Linked DNA regions of Rhinolophus ferrumequinum. The protein of the gene in region 1 purifies or fractionates together with the protein of each later gene. This does not show direct contact. Links are inferred from orthologs where the notes say so. Each region holds a gene or a part of one and is shown in the gene's direction. Other genes may lie near its edges. The genes, in order: CCDC68 and CEP170.

Region 1 (10,934 bases):
TCTGCTCAGGCTTCTGACGGATACACCTGGGAGCTCACAGCAGGAGTTGTTTGGAAAACAACTTGGAAAACCCTGAGTACTAAACTAGCTTGTGCCCAAGATACTGAACTTAGAAATCCATTCAGAATGCCGCAGGAGGCAAAGTGGTAAGTTGGAAATAGCCGCGGACTCATGGGTTGTGATCCACGACCATCATTAACTTCATTTTACTAGCTGTCTTTGCTTAATTATGTCGAGTCTCATTTCCTCATCTGTAAAATGGGAATAATAACACTGACACCTCAGGTGTTTGTGGGGTTTATTAAAGGCAGCATACCCCAGCCTGCATGTGGGGACATGGACCAGATCCTGCGCCCTTCTCCCCACGCTTCCCCAGTGGAAAGGGAGTCATATGATTTACACCCTTTGTAGTTTAGTTGCTGTACTGGGCACTGAGTGACACCTTATGCTTTTTCAAAGTTTCAAATTATACCAATGAACTGTGTATAGATTATTTCATTACAAAGACGCCTGGATTTGAAGTCAATCTATCTGAATTCAGGTGATGAGGTCAATTTATGACCTTGAAAAACTTCTTATCACTTGTTTGTGATTAGGTTGCATTATATACACAGCTATAGATAGATATAAATTATGGATCTAGATAATAGATATAGATATATAAGTAATAACTAAGCACAGTGTATTATAATGATGACTTTTGACAATACATGGAAGTGACTTTTTGGTAAATGACAAAGTGCTTTGTCATCAGTCTATATTTGTATATTGTGTTAGTACCAATATTTCAATCCTTTTTTTCCCCAAAACTGAATTGCTTTTATGTCATGTCTAAGAGCATTCAATAGCACTGGCTATGATATAAATATATGTGTGTATACAAATGAGTAGCATTTACAAATGATGCGATTACTTCAACTTAAAAAAATCTTATATCGTTACTTGAAAGCAGTGTTATTATTATGTGGGTTCAGGGTTAACATGCATGTCTTTTGGTGATACTGTGCATCACTTGCAGGTACACTGCACTGTCACCTGAGATTTAGCCGGCCGACACTGGATGTCACCATTGTGCTGTATAATGCAGCGGCAGAACGGGTGGGCTCTTTAAGATTCAGGAGACAGTCAGTCTCTTCAAGGGTTTGGAGATATGTTAGCTTTTTTCCCCTCACATAACCTACTTGCAGCACTTTTATTGTAACTCACTTTTTCAGTTTCTACTCTCTAAGCGCTATATAATAGTGATCAAGAAGGATGCAACACTGTGCAATGTTGTTAGCTTAAAACTGAGAAACCGAGAACTCAGAAACTGTGCCCAAACCAGTCAGAGCTCTTGGTTGCAAACCAGAGTAATTGACTGGCTAACTGAAGTAGAAAAGGAATTTACTGGAAGAAAATGGAGCAACATTCAGAATTGAGGCGAAAACTCCGTTTGCAAATGGGAGAGTCCAGTGTGTTGGTACCTCAGCAAAGATGAGGCTGTAGGCAGAACAAGATAGAGTCCTTCTGGCATTGCCACTGGTCACTAGATATCTCCACTGCTGTTCCTGCTGCTGGACATAAAGCACTGCCATGTGCCAGCCTCTTTCCCTTCCCAGAACAATAACGGGGTTTTCACTAACCCCCTGCTTCCACAAGCCTGATAGCCAATCAATCCCTTACTGGCATTTCCAGGTTGGAGTACTCAGTTGGCTGAGTCTAGGTGTCATACCTGTGCCCCAGCCCAAGGAGGGAGGAAGAAGAGGGAAGGGAACTTTCCTGCAAAGACTCATACAGATGGTGATTCCACATTACATATCTAGGAAGGAGATTCAAATGCTGGACAGCCAAACCATGCCAAGCGTCCACCATGGTGCTGTTCAGTCAGCACCCACAGAAATGAGTTGAGCATAGCACTGTGCAGTCAACTTTATGACCCCTTCTGTGGGTTGACCTGGAGTCAGGTGCATACGCCTTGTAGCATCTCACAGCGTCCCAGACTTCCCTATATCCTGCCTTTCCTTTCACCCTAAGGGAGCCTTACCAGCCAGGGCGAGACCTGCTTTAAGTGGCTAAAGAAACAGCTCCTTACGCAAATTGGAGGTCATAAGTTCCAGGCTATTGAAAAACAAAAAAAATCCCTGCTGCCTGCATTAAAAGAAGAAGAAAAGTAAGCTACACTGCGTTCCTCCTGTAAGCAAATCTCAGCCTCTGCTGTTGCTTTCCCCTTTGCATGGAATGCTCTTTGCCCAGATGGCCACAGGGCTTCAGCTCCTGTTAGTCAAGTCTTTTGCCCAAGTGCCACCTCTTCAGATTGTCCTTCTCTCACCACGCATCACCTCCTGTTTTTCTGTTACCTTGCTCTGCTTTTCTTCATGGCACTTGTCACCACCTCTCACTAGGTTCCCTGTATATTTATTGTTTTGTTTATGTCTTTCTCCCTCTCTGTACTGCGAGTCCCATGAAGGCAGGGTCTCTGGTTCACTTCTGTGGCCACAACTCCTAAGGTAGCTGTTTTCAATAAATATTTAATATATGAATGAATGAATCAGGGTTAAGTAAAGGAAGGAAACAACTTGGTTAGAACCTCTAGAATATAAACAGTGCCTATAATTAGTATCCTAAAGCTGCTACGACAAAGTACCACAGAGTGGCTTAAACACAGTCATTTCTTGTCTCACAGTTCTGGAGGCTGGAAGTCCAAGATCAAGATGTTGGCATGGTTGGTTCCTTCTGAAGGTTTTGAGGGATGATTTGTTCCGTGCTTCTCACGTTCTAGCTTCTGGTGGTTTCCTGGCAATCTTTGGCGTTCCTTGGCTTGTAGAGGGATCACCTGGATTACTGCCTTCCACGTTATAAAGCCTTCTCCCCATGTGCATGTCTGTGTCCAAAATTCCCCTTTTTATAAAGACAGCAGTCGTATGGAATTGGGGTCTACCCTACCCAGGTATGGCCTCATTTTAACTAATCTGTAGGGATCCTATTTCTAAATAAGGTCACATTTTGAGGTATTGGGGTTAAGACTTCAACATATGAATGGGAGAGGGGACAAACCCGTAACAGCGCCTCATATGTGTTTATTGTATAATGGTTCAGCCATTCTTCTGTCATTAAACAGAGAAGTCGGTTTAGTTACATTATTCTGGGTGCCCAGAGATGTACTGGTTTATCACAATTCACAGTAATGTGTAAGAATTGCTTTGTAAACTGTAAACTAGTCCTTAGATGTTAGCATAATCATTTGGGCACATTGATGAATTATTGATGCATTCTCAAGAAAGAACCCATACCATGGATTTGCTAGTCTTAAAATCCTCCAAAGCAGATTTTCTTTTATAGCCCAAATCAATCTGTAGACTGCTTAAAATATTACCTGGTTCATCTCTATCACTCAGACTGCTTGTCAGCAGTAATTATGGAGAATGGTTTCATGTTTTATTTACTCATTTGACAAACATGCAAATCATTTTTCATGTGCTAGGCACGGTTATAAGTGCTTGACAGATGTTAACTCACAATTCCATGTGGTTTATTATTTATCTTATTAATAATTAATAATTTATATTAATATCTGAATTTCACTGAGAAGGAAACTGAGGCACAGAGAGGTTAAGGAACTTGCCCAAGATCACACAGCTACTAAGTGGCAGAGTCAAGCCATGAATCTAGGTTGTCTAGCTCCAAACCTTTGATATGTAGACTATTCTTTCTTCACTATCAGTCTCATGGAAAAATTCAGTGTGTGATTGAATAAAACAGAGCTGCTTTGGTTCAAGCTGAGATGGCAAAGACCTATCTGCTCAGCACCTCACGTTCCCCTGGGAGCCCTGTTTGAAAAGCCCGGAACTAGGAAATAACACCTCTTGGAGTGATGCCACTTGTAAGCTGTCTTCAAACCACTCTAGTATAAAACAAATAAAATTCTTTTCTCACTTTAATTAACTGATTGTGTTTTGTTTTGAAAAATTTATCTGCCTAATCTACTTCTGGCAGAAATAAAATGCTAAGATGGATTTTCCCCAGGATAGTAATGCCATATGGCGATTTGGACTTTGCTAGCTGAAGTTCCCCTTGGGTTTCTTTATACAAATCAAGGACTGTGGTTGTAAAAGTTTTCTGAACCAAGGAGAGAAAGGGAATTTGATTTCGTATGAATATACTTTACAACCAGATAGGCATGAACTCTGCTATGGGCTGCTTATCTTCTGTGGTTATTAATAATATAAAATAATAACAGCAACAATATTAATAGTTACTGTCCACTGAATGCCTTCTGCCACCAAGGATTAAAAAAAAAAAAACCAAACCCCTCATTTTTTACAACTCTAGGTGTCACCACCCCTATTTTACAGATTTGTAAGTCGAGGCTAAGATTTTATGGAACTTCTTTAAGGTGGCCCATTGCTGAGTGGAGGGGGTAGACTGTTTTGAGAAATAGCAGTGATTAAGGAGCAGCATTTCTTGATATTAAGAATAAAAGACACGTAAGAGAATATACAGAGGGTGCCAAAAAAATATATACACATTTTAAGAAAGGAAAAAACTGTATTAAATTTGTAATACTCAATATATGTTGATAACAAAAGACGAATACAAGTCATGTGTATACATTTTTTTTTTGGCACCCCCTGTATTTTCAGGTGTACAACAGAGTCCCAATGAGATTTTCAAATTGTGAAAGACTGTGAGAATGCAGTGGGATCCATTTTCAAGAGTAATTATTTCCTGTGGTGAGACAGTGCCTCTTATTGTTTGTTAAGTTACACAATGTGTAACATGCTAAAAAGAAAAAAGAAAGTAAATCAATCAAATGGGACCATAGCTTAAGGGGGACTCAACTGGAGAACAAAACACAACTCAGACCAAAATGATTTCTTGCTTTCCCACTGGTTTTGCTCCAACCCCCATCACACCCTAACGCAGGAGAGCAAACTTTTTCTGTAAGGGACTAGATAGTAAATATTTTTTGACTCCAGGAGCTTGGGCTCCTGGGCCATGGTTTGCTGACCACCACTCTAGCCTGACCACCCCCCTCTGGTTTCCAAACACATTGCTGATTGTCTCTATGGGTGTTTGTTTTACTCTGAGCATTTAAATGTTGTTTTGGACCAAGAGCTTAATCCAGAAGAGACTTCCGAAGACCCAGTAACAGAAGTACTTCCACTCTGCATTCTGTAGAAACAGACTTGCAGAGCTGTGGCTGCCAAATCAACTTCAGCCGAAACCAATAGAAGCCGTAGTGGCTGTCTAAGAGGATTTATAATAAAATGGAAAATTCTTGGCATACTCTGTCAACTTCATCGAAGATTAAAGGATAAATGCAAAACTCTGAGTTAGTTATCCCCAGAAGCTATCTAGTTTTAAAGTGATGCCAGTAAATATGAAGTAAATATGAAAATTCTTTGTGTGTTTTAACACCATGGATCATTGCTAAATGTTAAATATTTCTGTTGTTTTTTCTCACTAGAGAAGCCAGCCTTAATGTGATGGAAACACCCTTGAACTTGGCGTCCAAAAGTCACAGGTTTCAGTCTCAGCTCTGTTAGTTTTACTGTGCTCTTGGGTAAATAAACATCACCTATGGGAGTCTTCGCTTCCTTATCAGTAAAATGAGATTAATAATCCTCCCTCACAAGGCTTTTTATTTTATTTATGTATTATTAGAACTTTACTACTTCTTATGGAAATTTCACACTGAAACAAAATAAGTAGAGAAGTATAATGAACCCCATGTGCCCTCGCCCAGTTTTAACAATTCCCTGAATTTTGCCCAAACTTCTTTCATTTTTACCCCCCCCCATTGCTCCTCTTTGTTAGAGTATTTTAAAGCAATTCCAAATGCAATGTTATTTCACCTGCAAATAATTCACTATATATGACTAACAGACAAGATCTTTATTTAAAGAATGTCATAATTTCGCTATCATACCTAGCAAAATGACAGTTATTCTTTCACCTCATGTATTACCCAGGCAGTGTTAATGTTTCCCTAGTTGTCTCAAAAATGTCTTTGTATAGCTGGTTTATTTGAATCAGAAGCCAAAGAAGATTCATATATTGCATTAGGTCGTGTGTCTCTTAAGACTCTTAATTTATGGCAGTTTTTCTTCTCTTCTTCCTATCTTTCTTCATATAATTGATTTGTGGAAGGAGCTAGTTATTTGTCCCATAAAATTTCACATAAATCTGGATTTGGCTGATTGCAACCTTTACCCTGTAGAGTCATTAAACATCATCCTCTTTTTCAGATAGAGGCTTGATTAGATTCAAGCCTACTTTGAAAAAAAAAAATCGTACTTCATAGGTGATGCTTTCTACTTGTGATTGTACCATATCCAGAGGACAAAATATCTGGTTGTCTCTTTTTAACTTGTGTCAAGACCGATTAGTAGGGCTCTTCAGGTAAATGCATACTTCATTAAGCTCTCACCTAATGTTTTTCGCACCAATTGATAAACTGTTGCTTAGTTCCATTACTTCATAAGGGGTTGAAAAATGTAGGTTTTCTAATTGTATCAATTCCTTTGGATTTATTAGCAAGAATTCTTTTGAAAAAATTCCCTCATCAATTATTTGGTCACCATGAACTACAGTTCGTACAGGAAAGGCAAGACAAATGCTTGTTGGTGTTCCCCTCACCCCTTTTTAGGGCTAATGTTTAGTATAATGGTGGCCTGCCTCCATTGAGTTGGACCATGAGGATTGGTGGTGGTGGTGGGGTGGTGGTGGTGGTGGTGGTTTTTCTCCTATCATCATAAATTTCGATATGTTTTCAACCCCTCACAGTTATTTCTCTTCAGGTTGGTTTTTATGTGTTATTCAAGTAGTATTTGATTACTTTTTTGCTTTCTGATAGGATAACACATCTCAGACTTGCTTTATACATTTCCTGCCCCAGATCTAAATCACTCAAGAAGCCTGGTTTCTTTTTAGTAGAAAATGGTATACTGAGACCACAGTCTAGACACTAGAATATTAATTGCTATTTTATAGTGGATAGATCTAGAATGTACATTTTAAAGGAAAACAAATCATTGTGTTACACTCATAATTTTAGTTCAGATTATAAGGTTTTTATGCAACATTTTTGGTTCTAATTTGTATATATTTTCCTCTTATGCTAAATATCTTGTTCTTAATGACATTAAGAGAATGACTTCTCGGCTTTATGCATGCATTCATTGGGTGAGCGCAGACACGTGTGTATTAACACACATATAATTTCAAAGTGGCAATACTGATGTTTCCATTAACAATACTATTAGTAGGTGTAGTTAAAGAATTTTGCTATTCTTTTTGTCCTTAGGACATAGTACACTGGGATAAATAGTTCCTGATGTGTGTTTTAAACTCACTTCAAATAATTCATGTGGACATCCTACCAACTTGATATACAGATATTTATTTCTTATTTTGGAGGATTTTATTTTTTTCATTTTAATTTAGTTTTATTTTATAATTAGGCAAAATAATTACATTGTTCAATGTCAAAACTATAAATCACAGATTGTCCCCTTCCATCCATTCTTCCCTTCTTATAGAAATTATGATACAATATGTCCCTTTCTGCACTGTGCTTTTTCATTGAACAATACATTACTAAGAAGAGTCCATAGCAGTAGGTGGTTTATTCAGCCAGTCTACTTTTTGGAGGCATTTGGACTTTCCCAATCTCTTACTTTTACAAATAAGTTTTCAGTAAATGGTCTTCATAGGCTATTGAGAGTTAAATAAAATGCAATATATTAAAGGTCTGTCTTAACTATAAAGTGATCTACATGCATGTATATATATATGTATGTAAGTAATATAGAAATGATTTTATTATAATTATTTTAGTTCCACAGAAATTTACTAAACACTTACAATGTGCTGGAATATAAAGGCGAAAGTGACAGTCCTTACTCTTGAGGTTTTACAGTCTAATATAATGTGGGATGAAAAGAAAAATTTTCTGGGAGGGGGAAAAAAAAAGAAAAATTTTCCATATTTCCTTCTCAGATAATTTTTAAGTTTCTAATCAATAATTGTTTTAGCTGGCGTTATTTTTACATTAAATTAATTCCTGGATTTATGGATATATATATATATATATATATATATATATATATAGAGAGAGAGAGAGAGAGAGAGAGAGAGATGTCAATCATTTATAATATTTTCTACTGTACAGTATTGGATTAGAGTGCTAGTACAGAGCTTCTTCCAGTTTACAAACCCTATAATCATATCATCAAGGAAGTTAGTGTTGTCTAACGGATTTGTGTTTTCCTAAAGACAGAGTTCACAATGGCAACAATAACCGTGACCACAGAAGTTCCCCCAAGGGGTAAGACAGAAGATAATTCTGCCTTGTATGACTCCACATCAGCTCACATTATTGAAGAAACCGAATATGTGAAAACGGTATGTGGGAGCCACACATCACGTTAGTATGATTTTTGTAAAGTAAAATCTAATATAGATTGGTAGACTTTGTTTCTCCCTCCATAGAACCTGAGAGGAAGAGCAGACCTTGTTTGGCAAAGAATAATCTTGATAGCTGACATTTAAACACATGTTGAGCATTTTCTCTTGAGGATATGAACCCCTGTTCCGACCCTTGCAGTAAAATTGAATAATGGGCAAGGAGAGTTTGAAACACCTGTCAGGACTTAATTTGTCCCACACTATTCACCACTGCACTTCCTACTGTTTTATATCATTTCTCAGTTGTTTCATGAGTTGGTGCTGTGTTCCCTAGTAGATGTTTGCATTTCCTGCTGAGTGTCTGTCTCTCCTTCGCTTGTTCCTTCTTACAGTTCAGGGTCGCTATTGCCAATGACTACGTGTAAGCATAGTCCTTCATTAAAAACCTGAAATCCTATGAGAACCCAATGATAATGGCTGAGAGAAACATATATTCTTATGAACTGTTTCTCAGAACAGATGGAAAAATTTGGACATGGGTAAATTGTAACATTCAGATCTATGGATTCATCTTAGAGTGTCTCGTAATTCCATAGGTCACAAAGGTGTGGGACTTATATTTTATGTATAAATTTGTATGATTTCCACTTAGTAATTATTCTATAGTAATTACTAAATAGAAAGTATTCTCTAGTAATTACTAGGTAGTAATTATTTTGTAGTAATTACTAGATAGTGATTATTTTGTAGTGATTACTAAACAGTAATTGTATTATAGTAATTACTAAATAGTAAATTAGTGCTAAATTACTATATAGAAAAAAATAGAACTAAATAGAATTAGATACTAATTACTAAATAGTAATTATTTTGTAGTATAATATTCATTTAGGTTATATTTTAGGTTTGACTGAGAAAGAGTTATAAAGACCAAATGCTCATTTTCTACAATCCAGACAACATTAGCCTAAATGCAAGTTAGGTTGATGGTAATTATTTAAGTCTGAGATCAATATATATGTACTATTTTCTAGATAAATTCAGTGCACTACTGCTGGTATAGAGAAAAAAAAGTATTTGGCATTAAATGCCTTTAAAAAAAAAAACATATTTTTTTTCTTCTAGATTCGTACTACTCTGGAAAAGATCCGAAATCAAATGTTTAAAGATGAAACAGGACATAACAGTATAAAGCACAGACTAGATGCAAAGGTAATGAATTTATCAAAATGTACCATTTCTATTTCGTCAGTAAATAAACATAAAGCCATACAGACTGTATTTAAGTAACTTTTTTTGATAATTATTAAATTATTCTTGGAAGCTTTGAACGATGGGTATTAAATATTTTGTCATTATCTAAAGATGTTAATGGGCACATGTATGAAATATTTAACCACAGATGTCATTAGTAGGATCCGATTGGAATGACCAGACCTTACTTGAATATTTTAAACTGAGCTTACTTTTCTAATGTATATGGGAAGATGTCGGCCCAGCCAAGATACATGGCAGCAACATTTCCCAATTATAGACAAAGATACAAGCTTTTTGGCTCACCTGGACCACACCAGCGGAAACACAGTTGAAGCCATTAGGCCAAATGAGCAGACAGCTGATAAGGTTAAAGGCACCCCTTCCTCTGCAACCAGCCTGATTTTCTTAAAATTAAGCACTCTGCACTTAACCTTGTCTGGATTATGTCACATTAAACTTTACCTAATCCAAGTGCATTTGTCAATGTCAGTGTTATCTAGTCTTGAATATGGCCAAAGAACACCAGCTGTAGGTATGATGCATAAACATAGTCTCCTTTAATCATCCTCAGGCCCCCAATCTAACACAACTAGCTCCAATTATTTTAAGTGTCCTGAAACTGGAAAAAAGGTTAATATTTGTGACTGATGGGAAAGATTAAAAATTCAGTTTTGGTTATATTGATTGCCTATTAGAACTCCAAGTGGCGTTTTCTCCTGGGCAGCTGGATATCTGATTCTGGAGTTGAGGGTAGAAATCTAGGCTAGAAGGTCCAGGCTACAGGATAGAGATTTGGGGAGTAAGGATGGTACTTTAACTTCTGAAACTGGAGGAGATCACCAGGCATGTGAGTGTAGATAGAAATGAGAGAAAATCTAAGCACCGAGTCCAGAGATTTCCAACATTCAGATGTTGGGAAGAAGAGGAAAAAGCATCACAGGAGACTGAGAAGAGAGGCTCATGGATTAGGAGGAAAGACAGGAGAGAATGGAGTCACTGAAGACCAGCGAAAAGGGGCTTTAGAAAGGGGGGAGGGGCCTCGGTGTCAAACAGTGTCCATGGGTCGAGTAAATTGAAGACTGAACATTGACCATTGGTAATAACAATGGGGAGGTTTGGGGGACCTTGAGAGGAGTAGCTTGTCAGGAATGGAGATGAACTGTGTTGCCAGTGTGTCTGCTTGGCCATCTCAAACCACAGAACGTTAGCAGACAAACTGAGCATCAAAATATCAGCTCCTCCCCCTTCAGTATCTAGGCAGCACTGCTGTAGGGACTTACCCATAATGA
Region 2 (11,144 bases), on another chromosome or scaffold:
TACTTATATATATGTATATACATATACTGTATATGGCAAAGAATATAAAAAATATTCAGGAAACATTTAAGCAAAAAAATTAGAAAAGGAAGAGGAGGAGGAATTGCAGGAGGAGAGAGGGGGAGAGAAAAGAAGAAGAAACACAAATTTGATGAGTAAAACTGAGAAAAAGAAGAACTTTTGCTTAAGTTACACACGTTTTGTAAGTGTGTCAAAGGTCCACATGATATCACTGCTGGCTAATTCGGTGACCAAATTATTGGCTAGTAAGATTAATGCAGGCCTTCTACAGATGTGAGCCCTTCCCTGGAAGGAAAAGCACTCTTTGTAGGCTCTGCAGAGATGTGTCAATCACATACAAGTAAAACATAGAACATCAACATTATCTTCGGTTTTCTCAAATTAGATCAATTTACAAAGAAAAGGATCACCCCCAAATTACATACTTTATTCCCTTTTCAACCTTTTGCTTTCTGTGAACTAGTTCCATTCCTTCCTCTTATTTTTATTAAATAAAAACATAACCTTTATCATTCACATGGCCCAACCCAGTGTTGATGGAAGAGACATTAGAGATCCAGGGGTCTGAGAGTGATACCTGGGTGACAACCAGGCTCTCACGTGTGTCTTGCTTGGCCAGCACATTGTGGGAAGAAGGGAGAAGAAAAACAGGGAAGAAAGAAAAGAGGGAGGGCACAAGAAACTGGATTGTTTTTAGAAAAAGCATCAACTGCCCAGTTTGGCCACACGCCTCACCATTCCCTAGTGCCTTCCACTGACGCATTCATACATACTGTCATCTATTTGGCTCCTAAAGGCAATAATTCCCAAATCTAGTCCAAACTTTATTTTACAGATGAAGACCAAGAATCCACGAGCAGTTTATTTATTTGCCTGAGGTGACAGATGGTTATCAGCAAAGCAACTGTAAGAGTTCAGCGACGTGGCTCCTAGTTCCACATTCTCTTCTCCATCATATTTGTCCATAAATTGAGTCTAGAGCCTGAAACACTGAAATGCTGAAGAGGAAAGGGTGAACCAGGATAGAAAATGTATATGGAAAATAAATGATGTATTCCTAGCACTGTACAAGTTTGTTTCATATTTCTTTATGCCCACCCAACCAAAGGTAGCTAGGTGAATAGGTGAGTCATGTATTCAGGTCTTGATAAAACTGTGTTCATAGCTAACACTGTAGCAACAGACTAGACATGATTCTGTTATTAAGGCTGGGACATTGCATTTCTAGCAAGTTCTCTCCTTCTAATACCATATCCTTACATTCCAGTGTACAGAACTTGAACAGCCTGGATTGCCCATTATTCTGGTTTTTCTAACCCTTTCTTGGCTACAAACTGCTTTATTTTATACCTCACGGCCTTGTACAAGGATGTGTTGAATGTAAATTAGAGGAGGGGCATTTGCACTTCTCTCCAGTTATCAATATAGTTCTCAGCCATTCTGCAGGTCTTGAATTACAGTTGCCTGTGGAATGAATGAACACCTAACCATACTGCCAGGAGCCCTTCCAAGTCACTTCCAGTTCTATGTTAAGCTCTGTGATTCCCAGGATACTTGGAATATGCTCACTTATTACCCCACTGGAAACTTTCATATCATCTACCGTGGAGGGATAATATTACAGATTTTGGGGTAATGAGGTCTTTTAATTTTTATGTCAGAACTCTAACTTTGAAGGAATGTCATTAAACCTGCCCAATTTCTTGCAGCGGGGGCATAGACAACCAAAAGCAGGAGATATCCTTACAGGGGGCAAACAATGAATATATCTGAAAAGTGTAAGGGAAAGGATAAGACGTGAGGGTGGAGTGTGAAATGGGCTCTCTATTTCCATGGCTGCTCTGGGCTCATCAGAGTCAAGGAGAGGCAAGACGTACACTCAGGTTTTAAAAGCAAGAAAGTGAACTTTGACTCCGCTTTCACATCAGAATTTCAAATTCTTAATATACTGTAATACCGAAAATTATATTTAAAGTGAAGAAATGAGGCAAAGCTATAAAAAATGGAAACTTGTGAAAGCATTTTGCATTTTTATGTGGTTACTTGCTGTCTGAATATAAATGAAGGTATACAAATAATGATTACAGGTATAGGTATTTAAAAACCAGAGGAGTAACCTGTGAGGAAAGACTACAAATGCTTATCAGCCTTTTCTCTAAACAAGAACTAGGCAAGACATTTTGGGGAAGTAATGGCAGATAGACAAAACCAAACAAACCAACAAAACAAAGCAAAGAAACTTTAAATTGCATTTTGTCTGATTGTATAGAACACAATTTCAAGTTATTAGGCACAAACACTCAAAATGAAGTTCTACATATAAAATAATGCCACCATACTTTGTTCTGAAACACAAATGTTGACTTTAAAAGGAATTATCCTACTTAAAAGGGGGTAATTTATATGTATGGAGTGAAGAACTTCTGACTGTGCTTCCCTTCAAAGTTCGCTTTGTTTTGTTTCCGTCCATGAGCTGTTATATAAACTAAATAAATGTAAAAATAAACAATGCTACTAAATAAATAATAAAATAAGTCCTGGAAACCCATGAAAAATCAGGTTCCATTTCTTGATTCATTGTTAAAATGGTCACTAAACATTTTTTTTTAAAGTAAACTTTTTTCTCTGCTTTGTCTGCTCTTGATTATAAATGTTTTCACTATCACATTGTTAGCACACTAAATTTAAAACTTATTTTAAAATGTATTAGCTTTGAATAAAAACTCTTCACTTTGTAATTACTGAAAGCATTATCATGGGTATTAAACACAGTAGTACTCTAACATTAGTTTAAATTAACCATTGCATCAAAATGCCTAATATTAAATGGCCTCTAATACTTACATAAAAGTTCAAAATAAGGTCAAAGAAGGAAGAACATTAGGAGATACTTATAATGGAAAACAAAAATTTTTTGCCAACCTCAAAAATTAAACAGAATCACTCACATTATCATTGTGCACAGTATTTTTCTTGCTTTCAAATGAAAGTTAGAAGTGGTTATTTCTGTATCTAAAAGTTCTTGAAACATCACTAGGATGATGAAGATATTCATTAAGACCAATTATTTTACTCTTGCAGTTTGAATACTCACAGTGTTGACAGTTTGTAACACTGCTGACAGGTGGGAACAATAAATAATAACTCTTACAAAATCTAGAGTCACTTGAAAATAAACTTTCTAATCTTCTTGAAAAACCTTCCCTTTGTTGCAGGTACCAATTATAAATAGCAGCTAACATTTAATTAGTGCTTCTTATATGCCAACCACTGATCTTTACCCTTATTGTCTTTCCTAGTAATCTGTAATTATTTTGTTTATTGTCTTTCTCCTCCACGAATCCAGAGGCTCCAAGGGGACAGGGACTTTGTCTAGTTCCTTATGTATCTCCAGGACCTAGTATGCCTAACACACAGTAGGCACTCAATTAATAAGTGAATCAGTGTTCTAAATGCTTTACATAATTTTTTAAAACTGTTGGTCATGACCTAGAGGGTTAAGAAAATGCAACAGAAGAGAAAATAGAGTGCATTACATTTAGTATTTTTTAATGAAACTTTTCTTTTAGTTTACGTATTTGTCCCATATAAAATGTATTTTTACTGATGAGTGACAGTAAAAAGAAAAAAAAAAGAAAGTCTCAAAATTATTGCTTTATATGGATTATTTCATTTGCTTCTCACAACAACCCTGTAGACGACACCGTAACTTCCACTTTAAAATAACAGAACTGGAGCTTCCCAGTTGGTGACTGCATCCATGTGCTGGCATGGCAATGCACCCAAAGAGGGCTTCCACAACTGAAGGGTTCAGGCCCGCAAGACTACCTCCACTTCGGATGCCAGTCACGAGTCCCAGGTTATCACTAGTACTTCTGACTGATTGGCTATAAATTCAAAGGGTTCCTACAACCCCCTCCTTGGCTCTACTGTTTGTTAAAATGACTCACAGAACTCAGGAAAGCACTTTATTTACTATTACTGGTTCATTATAAAGGGGTACAAATCAAGAACAGCCACATGGAAGAGATGCATAGGTGAGACATGGGGATGGGGTGCAGAGCTTCCAAGCCCTCTCTGGGTGCATCGCCATCCCTGCGCATGGATGGGTTCACCAACTGGGAAGCTCTCTGAACCCTGTTGTTTGGAGGGTATTATGGAGGTTTCATTACATAAATACGATTAGATTAGTGACTAACGCAATCTCCACATTCTCCCCTCTATGGAGACTAGGGAATGGGGCTGAAAGTTCCAACCCTGTAATTGTGGCTGGGTCTTTCTAGCGACCGGCCCCAATCCTGAAGCTGCCTAGGGGCTCTCAGACACCAGCCATCTCATTACACACAAAGACACTTTTATATGAATGAAATTTGAAGGCATATGCTAAGTAAAATAAGCCAGATATCAAAGAAAAAATATTGTATGATTTCACTTAGATGGGGTACCTAGAATAGGCAAATTGATAGAGACAGAAAGTAAAACAGAGGTTTACAGGAGCTAAAAAGAAGGGGAAATAGTGAGGGGGGGGGAACAGAACTAAGGTTTTTAAATGTTATATATGTCCAAGGTGACAGAATACAATCTTCAGTTCTATAGATACTCATTCATATGGTGCCATACTAAAAAAAAAAATCTGAATTAACTAAATATGGTTTTAGTAAGTAATAGTAATTGTGACAGGATTCATAAAGAAAAATATAGGCTTTTAAGACAGGCCTGACTGACTTTAAGATTTGTCTCTGCCACTAAGCAGCTGTGTGGGCTTTGTCCTGATTTATCGTCTTTGCACCTCCATTTATTTCCCCATGTGTAAAATAGGGATATTTATAAGGTTGTTTTAAGTTTTAAATGATATAATGTATGTAAATAGCCTAGAGCACTAAATAGAGCTGTTGTGATTAAAATAATTATTAGTGCTTTCTTTTCCTGGTCCAATAAATCATTCAATCCACTACACCGTACTGTGAATGTGTAAATAGTGTGTAGCAGGAACTCATTAAAGAGCAAAGTATGGGAAATGTGCAAAAGTGGCATAGAGCCGTTCAACAGGTTCTGCTGGCGCTGGGTGAGAAAGATGCCTAAATCAAGATCAGAGAGTTGGTTCAGGTAGTAAGGGAACCAGGGAAACACTAATGGTTAACAGTAAAAACACAAACGATCTCATTCTTCCTCAAAAACATCCTTCAACAGCAACATCCATCTTCTTCCTCTGCATCCTGGCTGAGGCCGAACCAAGGTGATAGGAAACACACCTAGTCAGCTCCCGCCCACTAGGCCCTGGTACCACGGGGCACGGAGGTTCGGAGCAACTCACCCCGGAGACTCCGTCGATAATGCCCCAGAATCTCCTCCAGGGTAGAGTTCTCCGGGGACTTCGCCATGTACAGACTCAGGATCAGAGATGGGAGTTACGTGGGGAATAGTCCAATGTTCTCCCCTCCGAGAACAGGAGGCCTTAGCGCCCCGGGTGGACCCGCCAGCTTCCTGCCGCTGCTGTCAATGGGGAGCATGGAACCCCGGACCGGGCTCGCGGGGGTTCTTCCCCCCTACTAGCCCTCTTGGTGGATGACGGGAGTTGTGGTTCTCAGACTCCGAGCCTGCAGTGTCCAAGTTTCTGAGACCTTCTGACTACACTACAATTCCCAGAGGGCACTGCGCTCCCAGAGCCAGCTCAGGCCGTTTGGTGGCCGGATCCGGTTGCCAAGAGACTGCTCGGAAGCTCCGCCCTTTTCCTGATTTAGTCCTGCCTTCATCCCATCCTACTGTTTGGACCACCCAAAATGACAGAAAGGGCTCGCAGAAGGCCTTGACTTTTCTAAGCAATTTGCTAATATGCAGTCGATTCTTGAAGATTTTCAAGGACGCAAATAACAAGCTCAACACTCTTCAGCCACGACATTTGCCAAAACAGACAAATTCTCAAGAGAAATACGCTCTAAATATTCCAAAGAGCCTAGATTGTGAAAGGCGGCTGACACTACAAATCCTAGCATGCCCAGCCACCCGACCTCCACTTGGGGTTGGCGCACTGCCCGCTGGGAACGGTAGTCCTCGTTGGTAGCCGTCCCTGCTAAAGTTGGGGTCCTCCTCATTGTTCAAGCTGGTCTTTGAGGCACGCCTGCGCAGTAGGCAGCTGTAAAACCCTGCGGCGAGACCCTCTGCACAGCCCCTTTTCATTGTCTGTTTTTGGCGCCTGCGCAGTAAGCGATCGTTGGGACTGAGCCGGGAAGGGGGTAGGGCCGGGCTGCTCGCCCTTTCTCCAAGCGCCTGCGCATTAGGCGGCCGCTCTTTGCCGTTACCGCTATGTGTGGGGCGTGTGTGGAATAACGTTAGTGCCCAGCGGAGCTGAGGGGCCGGGAGCTCGATCACAGCGGCCGGGACGACGACGACGACGACGACAGCGGCAACGACGACGACAGTGTGGGGGGAGGACGGCGTGCGAGAGACTCACGGGACGCGACGCGCCCCGCCTCCCCCGTCCGGTCCCTCTCTCCGCGGTGAGGGGTAAGTGATGCGCTCAACTGCTGGGTTAGGCGCTGCCGATCCCGTCGCGGCCACTTTCCACATCCTCTTCCTTGGGTTTGCAGCGGGGGCTCGGGCCGCGATCTGCGGCGGGGCTAGGGTGCGGGGCCGGGCGGGGCCGGGGGCGCTTCCCGGATGCTCCTCGCGGCGCCGCCACCCCCACGCACCGGCCGGGGGCTCGGCCGGGCCAGCCCTCGTCTCCCCACCCCACCCTCACCCCACCCCCACCCGCCGGCCCTTCGGTGCTGCGGCCGCGGCTTTCCCGGCCCGTGGCCGCCTCCGCCCCTTCGCCGGAACGTACGGAATCATTTCAGCTCTCTCGGGGCTTTGTGCAGCCCTCCCCCATCCGCCGTGGCAGCGCGAGGGGCGCGGAGGGAATGGCCGCGCTGCCGCTGGGGAAGTGCTGTTTCCCCGGCTGGGAGCAGCTAACAGCGCCGATCCTTTTTTGTGGTTGGTTCTGGGCTGTGGGGTGGTTGGCGGGAGGTCAGGCGAGGAGCCTTTCGGACGCGCTCGGAGGGCGTGGAAGACGTGGTGTCACGCACCCTGCCAGGCGACCGGACCCCGCGGGAGCTTTGGCTCGGGAGTCAGCCCCCGGGAGCAGAGCGTGGCTTCCTGTCGGTTTCATTGTCCTGAGATTCAAACGTGGGGTGTGGGTACGGTTCCCTTCGTGTTATTCCCCAAGGGGGAAAATTATGAGCGCTGCCTAACACTGGGCGGGAAGACGTGGAATTTGTAGAATCTCTATTTTTCGGTGTTGAGTAGACTGTTATTTATTTGAAGAATGAAAGCTCCTGGAAGACACGGACAGTGCCTGTGCAAGCATTGCCAAAGTGATCAATATAAAATTGCTAGATGACGATGAAGCCTGGACTAGGAAGGGCCTGACGACGAAGCTATTGTGTAGCAGGGAAGTGAAGCAGCAGGATTGTTTTTTCATTGGGTGGGTAAATGCATTCACGTTCCTACGGGAATAGCTAAGGCTCCGTCTTGCCGTTTTGTGTATTTAAGCAATCGAAGCAAACAAAAAACAGACCTGGTCCATTTCTGCTTAGTTTTATTCATGCTTGTATTCTCTTTGTGAAAATTCACTCCCGTTAGAGAGAAATGTGGGGAAGCAGGTGATACACTTGATTGAAGATGCATCTTTTAAAATGATTTGATCCTGAAGCTTCCAATGTTTCCAACCGTTTGCTGGTTTTAAAAGGAGGAATGAAGCAGGGAGGGGAGGAGCAGGTGGAGGAATAATGTGAGAGGAGAGAGTTCCATTATGAATACAGTATCCAAGTCTTTACTGATAGAATCCTAGCTGGACATGCTTCAAAGATTTACGAATTCAGCTCTGGAAATATTACATTGCAAGTTACAAACCGTTTTGTATGTTCTGCATTATTATTATTTTTTTGAGTTATATGAGGGTTGCTTTTTGTTCTTCCTAACTTTATAGATATTGCATAATTAGGGTCTTTTAAAACTGAAGAGACTAAGTGCACTTGACAGAGACAGAGGAAGATAACTAAAATTTGGAAAGGTAACTGTCCGTCCAAGCCAAACTGCTAATGAAAGGCAAAGCCAAATAAAACCAAGGTGTGTGCTGCGGAGTGCTCCTTCCAGTAGCCCCCTACCCTGTGGACATTTACGGAAAGCTGCTCTACAGTCTCTTTGCTTGTCTGTGACAAACAATCAAGTTCATTGACACCCCAGTTGTATTAATCTAATCCTTTTCTTTGTAAAGTAAAAATAGTAATTCTACTGAAGTGAAACTTTAGTTTTATGAATTAACTTACTGTTATAGGAAAAGATACTATAACATGGGCTTTTCATAAAAAGAGAAATGGATTATTTTTCCCTACTACTTATTAGAAACCATATTTTAATATTATTTCCGGATATTCAGAAGTAGTTTATAGTATGATCAGGTCTATAAACTCTGTTAAAAATTGCCACATAACAAGAAACTATGAAGTCCATTTTTCTTTGATTAATGGATTATATTAAACTTAAACGAGAATTTACCTTTTGAGAAATAACTTGGAACTTTTTATCAAAATTAAATTTATGTTTTTTATTGAGTTGATTTTGCCATAAAGTCCTTTCTTGTTCTTATCATTTTTATCCTACATAGCATTTTAATAGACTTTTAAAACAATTTATTAATGTTTCTCTGAATTTCAACTTAAAAATAATCTGTAATTAAATTCAGTATGTGCAATTATGTTAAATCAAACTTAAAATGTATTTTACTGGTAAATTTTGTGGTGTTCTAAAATGATTTTGTATGGAAATAACCATCTACATGTTTTTTTATCTTAGCATTAGAATGATGAAATTTATACTATAAAATATATAAATTATTATACATTATGCCTTTTGATACAAATATCAAGATGGTATAAAAAAAATTCTCTGCATAGTGATTTATTTGTTCCAAGTATCAGGTTTTTGTTTCCTTTTATCACTGGAAAAAAAATTTGTTTTATTGTTACATCTGATAGTAATCAAATATTACTCATCTGGTACTGAATACTGTCTATGTATAAAGTTGTCAACATGTTTTTAATTCAACAAAATGTATTTCTGAAAAATAATTTTTTCTATTTTAATTAGTGAGTAATGATGTTTTTTCTTTTCTGTGGTGAACACTAGCAGTGTTAAGCTATCCTAATAAATATCTAACAGATAGCATGATACTAAGTTGCCAACTAAAATATCCGTACAGTTGCAAATTACACAGGAAGTATAACAAAAGCAGTTACATACTATCTGAAAAATCCTTGGTGGATAAATAATACTGGCTGGAGCATTAAATCTTGGTGGGTTTCAGTAAGAAATGGGTTTCCTATTACGGGGAGAAACCATCTTTATTTCATAAACTTTGGTTAATAACCAAGATTTCTAATACTCAGTTACCCTTGGTGGAATGAGTTTTAATTTATTTACTCATACATTTCTTGAGGGAAGTGCTCAGCAATGAGTTAGCCAGTATGAGTGATACAAAAGAAGAAAACATCCATGTCTGGTAGTAGGGTTGATTAAACTGGATATATAGTCCAGTTAGTTGAAATAATTGTGCAACAGTGTGTGGATATGTGTAGACACGTATGTATCCAAAATGTATAACATAGCTAACATGTACTGAAGGTAAAGCTTACCTTTATGTCAAACAAAGGTAGAAAGGATACCAACAAAAAGGTTAAAGAAAACCTTACAGAAATTATATACAAGTAGGGATTGTACAAAGCATAGAAGTGGAAAAGAATCCCAAGCATACGTTGCTTAGGTTTAAAAACAAAAAAATTAGACAGCAGAGAATGTCATTATTTAATATATTAGTAATTAATAAATAATATAGAAAATATTACCTTTTGGGACATGATATTTGTTGAACAAATGGGTAATACCTGCCATGTATTAAGCACCTACTATGTGCCAGACTATGTCTTTGTGTGTGTGTGTGTGTGTGTGTATAATTCATGTAGCAGTCTTGTAAGTAAGGTATTATTTTACACATTTAAAATTGAGAATATTTGAGACCCAGAGTTAGTGAATAATTTTGCCTCTGTGTCACACATTAGTAAGAGGTAGAACCTATAACTGAACCTTCGTCTTTTCAACTAAAGCTAAAATTCTTTCCACTCATGTTTTTTAGTAAGTTTAAAAGGCAACATTTATTCCCTTCTGATTCACAAAATTTTAGAATTACAGGAGACTTTAGTAGAAGTCATGTCATACAATGTGCCACGTACTTCTAATATCTCTGGAGAACTTACTGAATCCAGCTTCTCCAAGACAAGACTTCATGAACAAACTGGCATAGGATGGCTTATTTAGCTTTTGAAAAGTATAGAAAGGTCTTACTTATATAAGACCCAGTCTTATGTTATTGTAAAATAAGACCCAGTATTATGTTATATTATGTATTATATTATATTATATATTATACCCAGTCTCATATTGTAGTAAAATAAGACTGGGTCTTGCATTAGAGCTGATTGTCCAGCTGGGTCTTATTTTCGGGGAAACATGGTAGTACCTGCGGAGCTATGTATTATAACTTCTTCCGATTGGTTGCAGTTCTGTCTTTATGAGTGAGATACAGTAAGGTTCTTAATATAATACAGTAAGGTTCTTCTTAATATAGTGGGTCTCTGCTAGGTTTTCTCTTTTCTAAATTAAATATTATAACCCCTATAACTTCATATGACATTGTTTCCTTTACCTTTCTCATCTCTGTCAACTAAATTCAATCAATTTTGTCAATGCTATTTTTTTTTTTCTGATTTGGTTTCCATATTTAATTCTGCAGTCATGGTCTGAATACAGCGTAGTAAAATTATCCCCTTCCTTAATTCATTCAAGCCATACGCATGTGTTTACAATATAAAATTGTGTTAACTCTTTGAATAACAGTAATATCCTTGTCAGTTCTAAGCAAAAAATAAGAGAAAATGTTATGTGGTTTTTCAAGTTATATTTATGCAATTCAGGGGATTATTTTTTGAGATTCTGTATTTCTACTTTTCTAAAGTTAAAATGATCTTTATGAAATGACAGTATTAGGTGGTAAGTTTCTTTTGCTGTTTATCTTGGATTTTTTGGTTGTC

Evidence for each region.
Region 2: the proteins of CCDC68 (region 1) and CEP170 purify together in Homo sapiens (co-immunoprecipitation; 3 studies listed by BioGRID and IntAct, counting the BioPlex papers as one, with this or other methods). This does not show direct contact. The link is inferred for Rhinolophus ferrumequinum from reciprocal best matches to the Homo sapiens genes CCDC68 and CEP170.

What each region holds. Positions count from the first base shown.
Region 1 is NC_046302.1:44,494,023-44,504,956, reverse strand, and holds the start of CCDC68 (coiled-coil domain-containing protein 68), read left to right. Parts: upstream 1-5,448; 5' UTR 5,449-5,542; intron 5,543-8,256; exon of another isoform or gene 8,257-8,260; 5' UTR 8,261-8,268; coding exon 8,269-8,385; intron 8,386-9,513; coding exon 9,514-9,600; intron 9,601-10,934. UniProt on the Homo sapiens protein: Centriolar protein required for centriole subdistal appendage assembly and microtubule anchoring in interphase cells. Together with CCDC120, cooperate with subdistal appendage components ODF2, NIN and CEP170 for hierarchical subdistal appendage assembly.
Region 2 is NC_046310.1:17,587,767-17,598,910, forward strand, and holds the start of CEP170 (centrosomal protein of 170 kDa), read left to right. Parts: upstream 1-6,286; 5' UTR 6,287-6,525; intron 6,526-11,144. Other genes in the region: SDCCAG8 (serologically defined colon cancer antigen 8), read right to left, coding at 5,336-5,402.